Saccharomyces cerevisiae S288C: one gene and its partner. Each later gene encodes a partner of the first gene's protein in a complex. Each region holds a gene or a part of one and is shown on either strand. Other genes may lie near its edges.

What was found. The genes of interacting proteins can lie anywhere in the genome.
Region 2: PRP28 (region 1) and AAR2 share a complex: the UniProt entries of both Saccharomyces cerevisiae proteins name them as parts of the U5 snRNP complex.

What each region holds. Positions count from the first base shown.
Region 1 is NC_001136.10:946,057-952,292, forward strand, and holds PRP28 (mRNA splicing protein PRP28), read right to left. Parts: upstream 4,229-6,236; coding exon 2,462-4,228; downstream 1-2,461. Other genes in the region: AMD2 (putative amidase), read left to right, coding at 751-2,400; PEX5 (Pex5p), read left to right, coding at 4,507-6,236. UniProt on the Saccharomyces cerevisiae protein: ATP-dependent RNA helicase involved in mRNA splicing. May destabilize the U1/5'-splice site duplex to permit an effective competition for the 5'-splice site by the U6 snRNA, resulting in the switch between U1 and U6 at the 5'-splice site.
Region 2 is NC_001134.8:86,222-90,654, forward strand, and holds AAR2 (U5 snRNP complex subunit AAR2), read right to left. Parts: upstream 1,569-4,433; coding exon 501-1,568; downstream 1-500. Other genes in the region: Hsp70 family ATPase SSA3, read right to left, coding at 1-227; 40S ribosomal protein eS8 RPS8A, read right to left, coding at 2,302-2,904; YBL071C-B (uncharacterized protein), read right to left, coding at 3,237-3,335; KTI11 (Kti11p), read left to right, coding at 3,757-4,005; YBL071C (uncharacterized protein), read right to left, coding at 4,002-4,310. UniProt on the Saccharomyces cerevisiae protein: Component of the U5 snRNP complex that is required for spliceosome assembly and for pre-mRNA splicing. Involved in splicing pre-mRNA of the A1 cistron and other genes that are important for cell growth.

The sequences.
Region 1 (6,236 bases):
CACGGAATGTTACTTATCTTATATATTATATAAAATATGAATCATACTAAGTGGTGGAAGCGCGGAATCTCGGATCTAAACTAATTGTTCAGGCATTTATACTTTTGGGTAGTTCAGCTAGGGAAGGACGGGTTTTGTCTCATGTTGTTCGTTTTGTTATAAGGTTGTTTCATATGTGTTTTATGAACGTTTAGGATGACGTATTGTCATACTGACGTATCTCATTTTGAGATACAACACCTCGCAAGAAATCGACTCTCGGTAGCCAAGTTGGTTTAAGGCGCAAGACTGTAATTTATCACTACGAAATCTTGAGATCGGGCGTTCGACTCGCCCCCGGGAGATTTTTTTATGTCAAGCACCTACTTTTAGCCGGCTTTCTGGAGATAAGTTCCCAGTAGTCGTTGTATTTGATTCTCTATTGGATAGTCAATGACACATTCGTGACCGAACAATGAGATATTATTGAGTACCGGGAGTATTATGTGTCATAATTTGTAGTATTATCTGTGTGACGGATTAAGTTTGCTATCTCAAATGCCGCGCGCGCGAATTGCTCATGATATAATAATAGCTAATAATATGATAATATGATAATAATAGATAAGATTACTGATAACATTATTTTAGTATTCAAAAGCGTATTACATATATATAGTCGAGTAAATACTTTTTTTTCAATGGGGAGTGGAAGGGACAGCCGCTCTGACCTGTTATTAACGACAGACAACACGGTACCAAAGTTATACAATGACTGTGCACTCAACGTGGAAGGAAAAAGTTCAATTAAAAAAAGATCAACTGAACAGTAAGATAAAAGACGAATGGAAATTAAACAGCACAACTATAACGAGGTTGAAGAACGATAAAAAAAATTTAATCAAGAATATCGATGATTTATGCTCATCTTCAGAAAATCAGATCACCCACTCCACGATTATGGCCTTGAGACAGGCACTGGAAGCAAAAGAGTTAAGCTGCCATGAAATAACAGCTGCATTTTGTCATAGGGCTGCTTTAATTCATCAAGTAGTGAATTGTCTATCCGAAATCATGTTTTCAGAGGCATTGAGATTGGCTGACTATTACGACAGCAATAGACCAGCCATATTGCCACCCTTGTACGGTATACCGATATCTCTCAAAGACCAATGTAACGTTGAGGGTGTAGACACCTCACTGGGTTATTTATGTCGAACTTTCAAACCAAAAACCAAGAATGAAGAATCATTGATTGTCAGTTTTCTGAGAGATTTAGGAGCTATTATATTTGTAAAAACCACCGTACCTTCATCGATGATGGCTACAGATACACAATCTAACACCTTTGGGTACACATATAATAGTATTAATTTAAGCTTCTCCAGTGGTGGATCTTCTGGTGGAGAGGGTTCGTTAATTGGTGCTCATGGTTCCTTGCTGGGACTAGGAACTGATATAGGCGGAAGCATCAGAATTCCTAGTAGTTACCAAGGATTATTTGGTTTGAAACCAACTTTTGGACGCGTCCCTTACTTGAGGGTGGATAATTCATTTGAGGGAAGGGAAACAATTCCCAGTGTAATTGGGCCGTTGGCAAGAGATCTTTCGGATTTGAGATACTTCATGAGTTGCGTTATCAACATCTGTCAACCATGGGTACAAGACGTCAAGTGTATTCCATACCATTTTGATTCCTCTACAAGTAAATTACACGATAATTATGTTGTTGGAATATGGTATGGTGACGGCGTTATTGATCCTCCGCCCAGTGACATCAGGGCTTTAAAGACGTGCGAAGACCTAGTTAATAAAACTAAAGGAATGAAGGCAGTTAAATGGGAGCCTTCCAGTGAACTGAGCAGGGAATTGTTTGATCTCGCAAATGAAGCAGATGTTGCTGACTCAGGTAACGAGATAAAAAACGAATTCGAAATTTCCGGAGAACCACTCCTAGATATTTTAAAACCAATGGTTTTGGAAAACGGAAGGCCCCCATATACTGTTAATGAATGGTGGGATTTGACCAAAAGAGTTTATAATGCACAACAATTAATGAGAGATTATTACCTTTCTTTCCCGGAATCAGAAAGGCCTGATGTTATCATATCTCCTACAACGCTGATGCCATTTAGGCCTGGTGACATGCTAAAGACAACTTTACGATACATTTTACTATTCAACGTTTTAAATTTCCCATCATTATCTATACCTGTAGGTAGTGTCGATTGCCAAATTGATGGGCTAATGGATACCACTTCTGCGCTCAATCCAGAAGATAAAATGATCAAAACATATTGGAATGATTTAATACAATCTGGTGAGATAGATGGGTTTCCAATAGGCCTACAAGTAGTTAGCCCGACTTTCAATGACAATGAAGTTTGTAAATTTGCGTCTTGGCTTTTTAGCAAAATATAGACAATAACTTGAAAGTTGAGATCTTGGGTCCATCAAAAAAAAGAAAGAAAATAATATAACTTTAATATATAATCTCATTACTGAGCTGTTTGCCGACGTTATATTTGTTCTTTACGGCTTCGGAAAAGATATTGCTATTCAAGGGATCATGTTTCCTGACGTATTTGTAAAGTTCACGTATCAATGATTCATCTTCAGCGGCACTAACAAAGGAGACAGCAGTGCCCTCATTTGCTGCACGACCTGTTCTACCAATTCTATGGATGTAGTCATCCATTTTTTTGGAAATCTGGAAATTGACTACCAAGGAAACATTAGGGATATCCAATCCTCTTGCGGCAACGTTTGTTGCGATCATGATTTGGACTTTGTTGGTGCGAAATAATTGCAAAGAATGTTCCCTTTGCTCTTGCGATTTAGAACCATGTAAAATCGTCACCTTCATGTTGGTTTCCTTTTGAAACTTTTCTGCTAACCAATCAGCAGTTTGTTTGTAATTGATAAAAATTATTATTGGTGGATCATATTTAGCGACAATTGGCTTCAACTTTTTGAATTTGTCTTCGTCATTATCTGCATATTCCACAACCTGTTGAATCAAAGGTTCAGAACCCGTCTCAACCCCAATGGTTGCATAAACAGGCTTTTGCATGTATCCTGCTGCAATTTTTTCTATAACGGGTGTCATTGTAGCGGTAAACATCAGGGTTTGTCTATTCACAGCAGAGTCAGCATTTATATCGACTTTAGTTAAAATGTTTGTTACTTGGTCCTCAAAACCTAAATCAATCATTTTGTCAGCTTCATCTAGTACTAATGTCTCCACCTGTTTCATCACAAGTAAGTGATTTTCTAAAGAGTCAATTAAACGTCCTGGAGTGGCCACCAGGATGTCACAACCCTCCGATAGAGAAAATGAAATTTCCTCCAAGGAGTGTCCACCAACAATAGAAATTACTTTGCAGTCATAGTTGCTCTCTTTGGACCATATTTTTGTAACTTTTTGTGTTTCTTTTTGAATTTGCTGCACTAATTCCCTTGTTGGAGCTAAAATTAACGCTTTGGGGCCATCAATAATCTTCAAAGATGGTGGCCTTGGAGGTGACCTACTCATCTTGATTAGTATCGGTATTACAAAGGCCAAAGTCTTACCCGAACCTGTAGAGGCAACACCAAGAAAATCTCTATATTGTTTCATATTGCAAACGTTTGGAATAGTAATCCTTTGAATAGGAGTTGGTGAAGGAAATCGCAGCTCCTGTATAATAACACGTAACAAGTCCCTTGGTATTATATTGAGCTCTTCCCAATTTCTCAATGGATTTTCTACTGTCCCACCTTTTGTAACAATAGCGTAGTCTTCTTTTAGTATCCTCCAATCTCTCTCATTCATTTCGTGCAAGGACTTCTCAGTCCAATGCTTCCCCATATATGAAGATTCTGCAGCATTTTTAGGAGTCTTTCCCTTCCATAGCAAATCTATAGCTCTAGTTGAAACGATAGGATCATATCCGCTCAGAGTATCTTCGCTTTCATTCCAAGAAAAGTGAAATTTAGAGCCATTTTGCTTTGATGGATTTCTCTTCTTATCATTTGTTTCATTGAAAAAACTGTCATCTCTAGAGTTTACCTTTTTAATCTCCACCTTAGCGCTATCACTTTGCGTAGGCGTCAAACTCTCTTCGTTCTCCTTCAAACGTTCTTGCTTAGATCTTTCTTGTTTATTCAAAAACCTAGGCTTGCTGATTTTACCTGATGTATTTTCATCTAGTCCTTTTTTCTTGTTTATACCAGCAATCAGCTGACTAACATCGATTGGTCTTGCCATCCGTCCTGTATGTTAATTCTTCGGCTCCTATTGACCTTTTCGTTGTCAAAAATTCTATTGTCGTTGGTAATTCTCTCGATTGTAAGCTTCGAATATGTAAAAACGGATCATCGCGATTAACTCCGAATTCCTCCGACAAGTCGGTACCCTCTTCCGGCGGAGAATATATATGAACAAAATTAAGCATAAGAAAGGTTTCTGATTAATATTGATTCACCAAACAGTTTTAGTTCCTATTTTTGGATATATATACATCAATAAACAATATATCATAACACATGGACGTAGGAAGTTGCTCAGTGGGAAATAATCCGCTTGCGCAGTTGCACAAACATACTCAGCAGAACAAATCGCTTCAGTTTAATCAGAAGAATAATGGGCGTCTTAATGAGTCACCTCTACAGGGTACCAACAAGCCAGGTATTAGTGAGGCTTTTATATCCAATGTTAATGCTATTTCACAAGAAAACATGGCGAATATGCAAAGGTTCATAAACGGAGAACCACTGATCGATGATAAAAGAAGAATGGAAATAGGGCCATCCTCAGGCAGGCTTCCACCTTTTTCAAACGTACATTCTCTACAGACTTCAGCAAACCCAACCCAAATTAAGGGAGTGAACGATATATCTCATTGGTCACAGGAATTTCAAGGTAGTAATAGTATTCAAAATAGAAACGCGGATACAGGAAATTCAGAAAAGGCATGGCAGCGTGGCTCAACAACCGCATCAAGCCGGTTTCAGTACCCTAATACCATGATGAATAACTATGCTTATGCTTCTATGAACAGTCTTAGTGGATCAAGGCTCCAATCGCCTGCTTTCATGAATCAACAACAGTCTGGTCGTTCTAAAGAAGGAGTCAATGAGCAAGAACAACAACCCTGGACAGATCAGTTTGAAAAGCTGGAAAAAGAAGTCTCAGAAAACTTGGACATAAATGATGAAATAGAGAAGGAGGAAAATGTGAGTGAAGTAGAACAAAACAAACCAGAAACTGTTGAGAAGGAAGAAGGAGTATATGGAGATCAGTATCAATCTGATTTCCAAGAAGTGTGGGATAGCATACACAAGGACGCTGAAGAAGTCTTGCCATCCGAATTAGTTAATGATGACCTCAATCTAGGAGAAGACTACTTGAAATATCTCGGCGGTAGAGTAAATGGGAACATCGAGTATGCTTTTCAATCTAACAACGAATATTTTAATAATCCTAATGCTTATAAAATTGGCTGCCTACTGATGGAAAACGGAGCCAAATTGAGCGAGGCAGCGCTAGCATTTGAAGCTGCTGTTAAAGAAAAACCGGACCATGTGGATGCATGGCTAAGATTGGGTCTAGTACAAACCCAGAATGAAAAAGAGTTGAACGGCATAAGCGCCCTCGAAGAATGTTTAAAGTTAGACCCAAAGAATCTGGAGGCAATGAAAACTTTAGCGATAAGTTATATAAACGAAGGTTATGATATGAGCGCCTTCACAATGCTGGATAAATGGGCAGAAACTAAGTACCCGGAAATTTGGTCAAGGATCAAGCAACAAGATGACAAATTTCAAAAAGAGAAAGGGTTTACCCATATTGATATGAACGCTCATATCACAAAGCAATTTTTGCAACTAGCAAACAATTTAAGCACAATAGATCCTGAAATACAACTATGCTTGGGTCTCTTATTTTACACGAAAGATGATTTTGACAAAACCATAGATTGCTTTGAAAGTGCGTTGAGGGTGAATCCTAATGACGAACTCATGTGGAATAGATTAGGGGCTTCATTGGCCAATTCCAATAGATCAGAGGAAGCAATCCAAGCCTATCATAGGGCACTACAACTAAAACCTTCTTTTGTTAGAGCTCGCTATAATCTGGCGGTATCATCCATGAATATAGGCTGTTTCAAAGAAGCAGCAGGCTACTTATTAAGTGTTCTAAGTATGCATGAAGTGAACACTAATAATAAAAAAGGAGACGTTGGATCTCTCTTGAATACGTACAATGATACTGT
Region 2 (4,433 bases), on another chromosome or scaffold:
AATTTACGACCAATTAACCGCTTTGCATCAAAAACTGTATTATGAGGATTGATTGCAGCTTGATTTTTGGCGGCGTCACCAATTAATCTTTCGGTGTCTGTGAAAGCCACATACGATGGAGTGGTCCTATTACCTTGATCATTTGCAATTATCTCTACCCTATCATTGGAAAAATGAGCAACACACGAGTAAGTTGTTCCCAAATCAATACCAACTGCTCTAGACATTTTTCTTTGTAGCGTTTAGTACCTATTCTATCCGTTTAGTGACAAACATTGACATACAAGAATGTTTATGCTACCAATTTCAGTCACTTTATATACCCTTCCATTCGTTTCCAATTGTGCAATATGATACATCCCTTAACCATCTTCTGGTCACCCTTGTGGCTGCTTCTGTAATATTCTATAACTTTCCACAGCGATCCCTAATTAAGGGCACCCATAACCTCCATAGGCATCAAGTCAAATACGTTTGATGATAGCGCCGCACGATGATCGTTATGGCCTTTGGTAATAGAGACCGCCAACAATGGTAGGGTTGTGCTCATCATCCTCGTCATCCCTTTCTTCATCACTGATACCGTAAATAAGAGCGTCGTCTTCATTGTCTTTACCAAGCAATTCTGGATATTTGTTTTCCATTATCTTTTCTGTGTTGTGTAGGGAGTTTTTTTGAAATGACGAATACAGACAAATATTCCAAACTCGTTCATTCAACAAGATGTCTGAGTATTGTTCAGGCAATGTCTTTATCTGATAATATAAGATTTCGTCTAATTTATCGAGCATATGTTTAGGCACCGTAGCGCTTGAACATATCAGTTCGATCATAGCATGCCATTGCAAACTCGACCCGTAGTTACCAAAAAACATGGCATTTAAGAACGCAAACTGCAACTCCCCAAAATAATTACTTGAATTTTTAAAAATTCCTTGTAGCATTACAGTGTTCAAGTAGTAAGACTTGTCTAAAAAATCCTCCATTTCATGGCCAGGCCTTATGGCTTCTCTAGATTTGAAGTTTATTACTGTATAGTTTAAAGAATGTGCAGGATCATCTTCATTCTTGGCTTCCATTTTAGAACCTGCTTTTTGCAAGCTGGATTTTAGCAGCTCATTTTCTTGAACTGTGGTCATCGAAGAATCTACGTAAGAGAACTGGTTTTCATCTTTCCTTACTATCTTTCGGATTTTATCCATCTGCACAAACTCGGTAAGATTGTACCAGGTATCATCTTCGTCAATTTTCGGATAAGAAACCATCATCTGCCGTTCCTTGAAGTTGTGAACAATATTCTCGAATTTTGCGCCATCCCTTTCTTCCATCATTTTGTAAAGGCCATCTTTAGGATCATACTGAATGTAAAAGTTTCCCATTCTACAGTCAAACCAGTAGCCATACCTCATGCTGGAATTATCTGCATGCTGAAAATGAATGACATGAACGTGTCCAATGGGGATGTCCTTGATTCCGTGAAATGGCTGATTCTCCTTGACATTAAAGGAATACTGATCGATCCCTATAGTTACCTCAATCGGAGCAGATGTAAATGGTACAGTATTCATTGCAGGCTTCCGATATTTTATTTTTTAGCCCCATGTCCCAGCGATAAGGAGGATCTTTGGTGTCCATTCATCTCATTAAACCCTAAACCATTGAAATATTCGTGTTCGTGCGTCGCGATTTTTTCCGCTTTCAAGATGTGTCCTTTCTTCATCTCTTGGTTCTTATAAAAGGGCGCCGCAAACCCCTCCTAATTACTTTTTCCTTTTCACATCCCATGGGTTTTATCTTATACCAAATGTTTACCATTCTGAATCGTATAGCCAACAAGTAACCACAGCTGCAATTGTGAAAAAAATTGATAGGTGTGGTCACCCAACTGTTTTTTTCTCTTTTTCTTTTTTTTTTTTTGAAATGGCTAGACGGTGCTTTTGCTGGTAAAAGAAAAACTCTTGTTTCAATTTAACATGATGAAAAAATATATTAACACAGACCTGTACTGAACTTTTCGAAGTTTTGCAGATAACAATATTGCTTTTTTTCTCTGACTTTAACTAATCGTTCTTATTTCTGTATATACTATGACCTTGCAAACCTTGAAATGCAAAATTCGTATTCTCTGCTAAATTGAAAAATTTAGAGCATGAAGTGTGTTTTCCAGCAGACACCGCCTGTGAAAAAGATGGTAAAATGATATGATAATTAAACACACATAATAATAGCATATATGATATATAAGACTATATGAAGAGATGAGGAGAAGAGAAGAAAAAATTGGTAGTATTTTCATTTCATCTATTTCTTAGCAGTCAATCTTCTTAGGTAGAAAGCTAATTCTTCACCTTCCAAGATGTAACCATCACATCTACCGGATTGACCTGGTCTGGAAGAGATACAAGCGTATAATCTACCGGCGCTGAATTGAGATTCAACGGAAGATTCGATCTTGGCAGAAGCAGCTCTAGCAGCCCACTTTCTTTCAGCGTTCTTGCTCTTGGCAACAGTTTCTTCTTCCTTGACGTTCTTCTTCTTACCCAAGGTTTGACCGTAGTGAGCTTCGAACCATTGTCTGAATGGAGTAGCATCAATTTGGACAATGGCAGCCTTGGTCAAAGTGTTAGTTCTAACCAATTCATTGTTGGATGGATGGTAAACAACACCAGCAATTCTGGTCTTCTTGGAGATACCTTCAGAAGCCCAAGAAAAGTTACCGGTTTCAATTCTTAGAGCTCTGTATTTCTTGTTACCACCTCTAGTTCTAACAGAGTGAATTCTCTTAGCACCGATCTTGGTGTTGGCTGGTTGACGGCCTAATTCGAACTTTCTCTTCTTTCTGAATTGAGCACGCTTGGCACCGGTAGCGGATCTTTTGTGACGAGAATCACGAGAAATACCCATTTTGTAACTGTAATAGAAAATTTAATGACGCTTGTTAGTAAAATAAAGAACGTACAAAAGTTGCGGAATTTTTTTCTTATCTTGAAATATGCTTTGGTTTCTTTTCATCTCTTCTTGTGAAAAACTCGGCGTTTCATAAGAGGCTTGATTTTTTGGGTACACAAAGGATTCAGTTTAGTGCACTGCTCCTGTCACAATTTATATCATCCCTTTTAGTTAAGTTTACTTTTTCCACTATCTATTCCATTCAAAGAGAGGTCCTGTAGCATTCAAAATAATATGTAGTTCCATTACTCATATGACCATAGCACATACTTTTTGTCCTGGTGTGTTTATAACGTCTTCTTGTGAGTACCAAAAAGCAAATGGCAAGTGTAATTTCCTATAACTTTAAGATAGGCCTGTAAATAACGTATATGAAACAGTTCCATCCCGTAACACCATGAACACTGCGTAAGAGAAAGCCCTCAAGCTTTCCCAGCGATGCTCGTGTGTAGGACCGAACATGGAGGGGGGAACTAGGCCCAGCACGGGTTTGGCGAGGCCGCTCTGCTCGCAGCTCAGGATTCTAAAAGGTTATTCCGCTGAGAAAATCAGAAAATAGGAACTTCTCACGCAATAATTTTAAAGTTGATGAAAAAGGAAAATTTGTAAAAGTGTAAGGGTGTTAAAGAGGGTGTATGGATGTAAAGTCACAAAAGTTAGAGCAGATGAAAAAGAAATGGGTGGAGACAAATCCGAAAAAGGACCTATATTATCGCTATAAAGAGCTTCTCATCGCTTTTTTTTTTCAAAGACACATACATACCACGACTGTAAGCACATCATTTGTACAATACATTACCAGCTGAAATGTCAACATATGACGAAATCGAAATCGAAGATATGACGTTTGAGCCTGAAAATCAAATGTTCACCTATCCTTGTCCCTGTGGAGATAGGTTTCAAATATATCTGGATGACATGTTTGAGGGCGAAAAAGTTGCTGTTTGTCCCAGCTGCTCACTGATGATCGATGTAGTTTTCGATAAAGAAGACTTGGCTGAGTACTACGAAGAGGCAGGCATCCACCCCCCTGAGCCTATTGCCGCTGCTGCCTAAAGATGAGAGGCTAGATCGAGAATACAAATAGAAATAAAGAAAGAGCTATATGACTTAGCAACGCAAGCAGAAAAGAAGGTTTGCTTCTTCGCTGGACTCCGGTTGGAATTACTATTCAAAATTCCAAGTGCACTGATGGAAAACGTTTTGCTCAGGTTGAGCTCTTTTACTGCATATAAGGATACTGGGTAGGTGTATATGATTATTTTATACATGATACGTAGGCTAAAATGATTTGGACCCATTAAATCATCTTGTCGCATCTCTTTTCTTTTTCCTCCATGCTCAGATTTCAATAATATCATCTCAAATGGCTGTGACAAATTTCACCGGAAAGGCGAGGGATTTTTCTGTTGACATTATCAAATTAGCTTTTTGTCAAAATAATGAAAAATAAAGAAAATATATAAAAGTACATATTATAATCA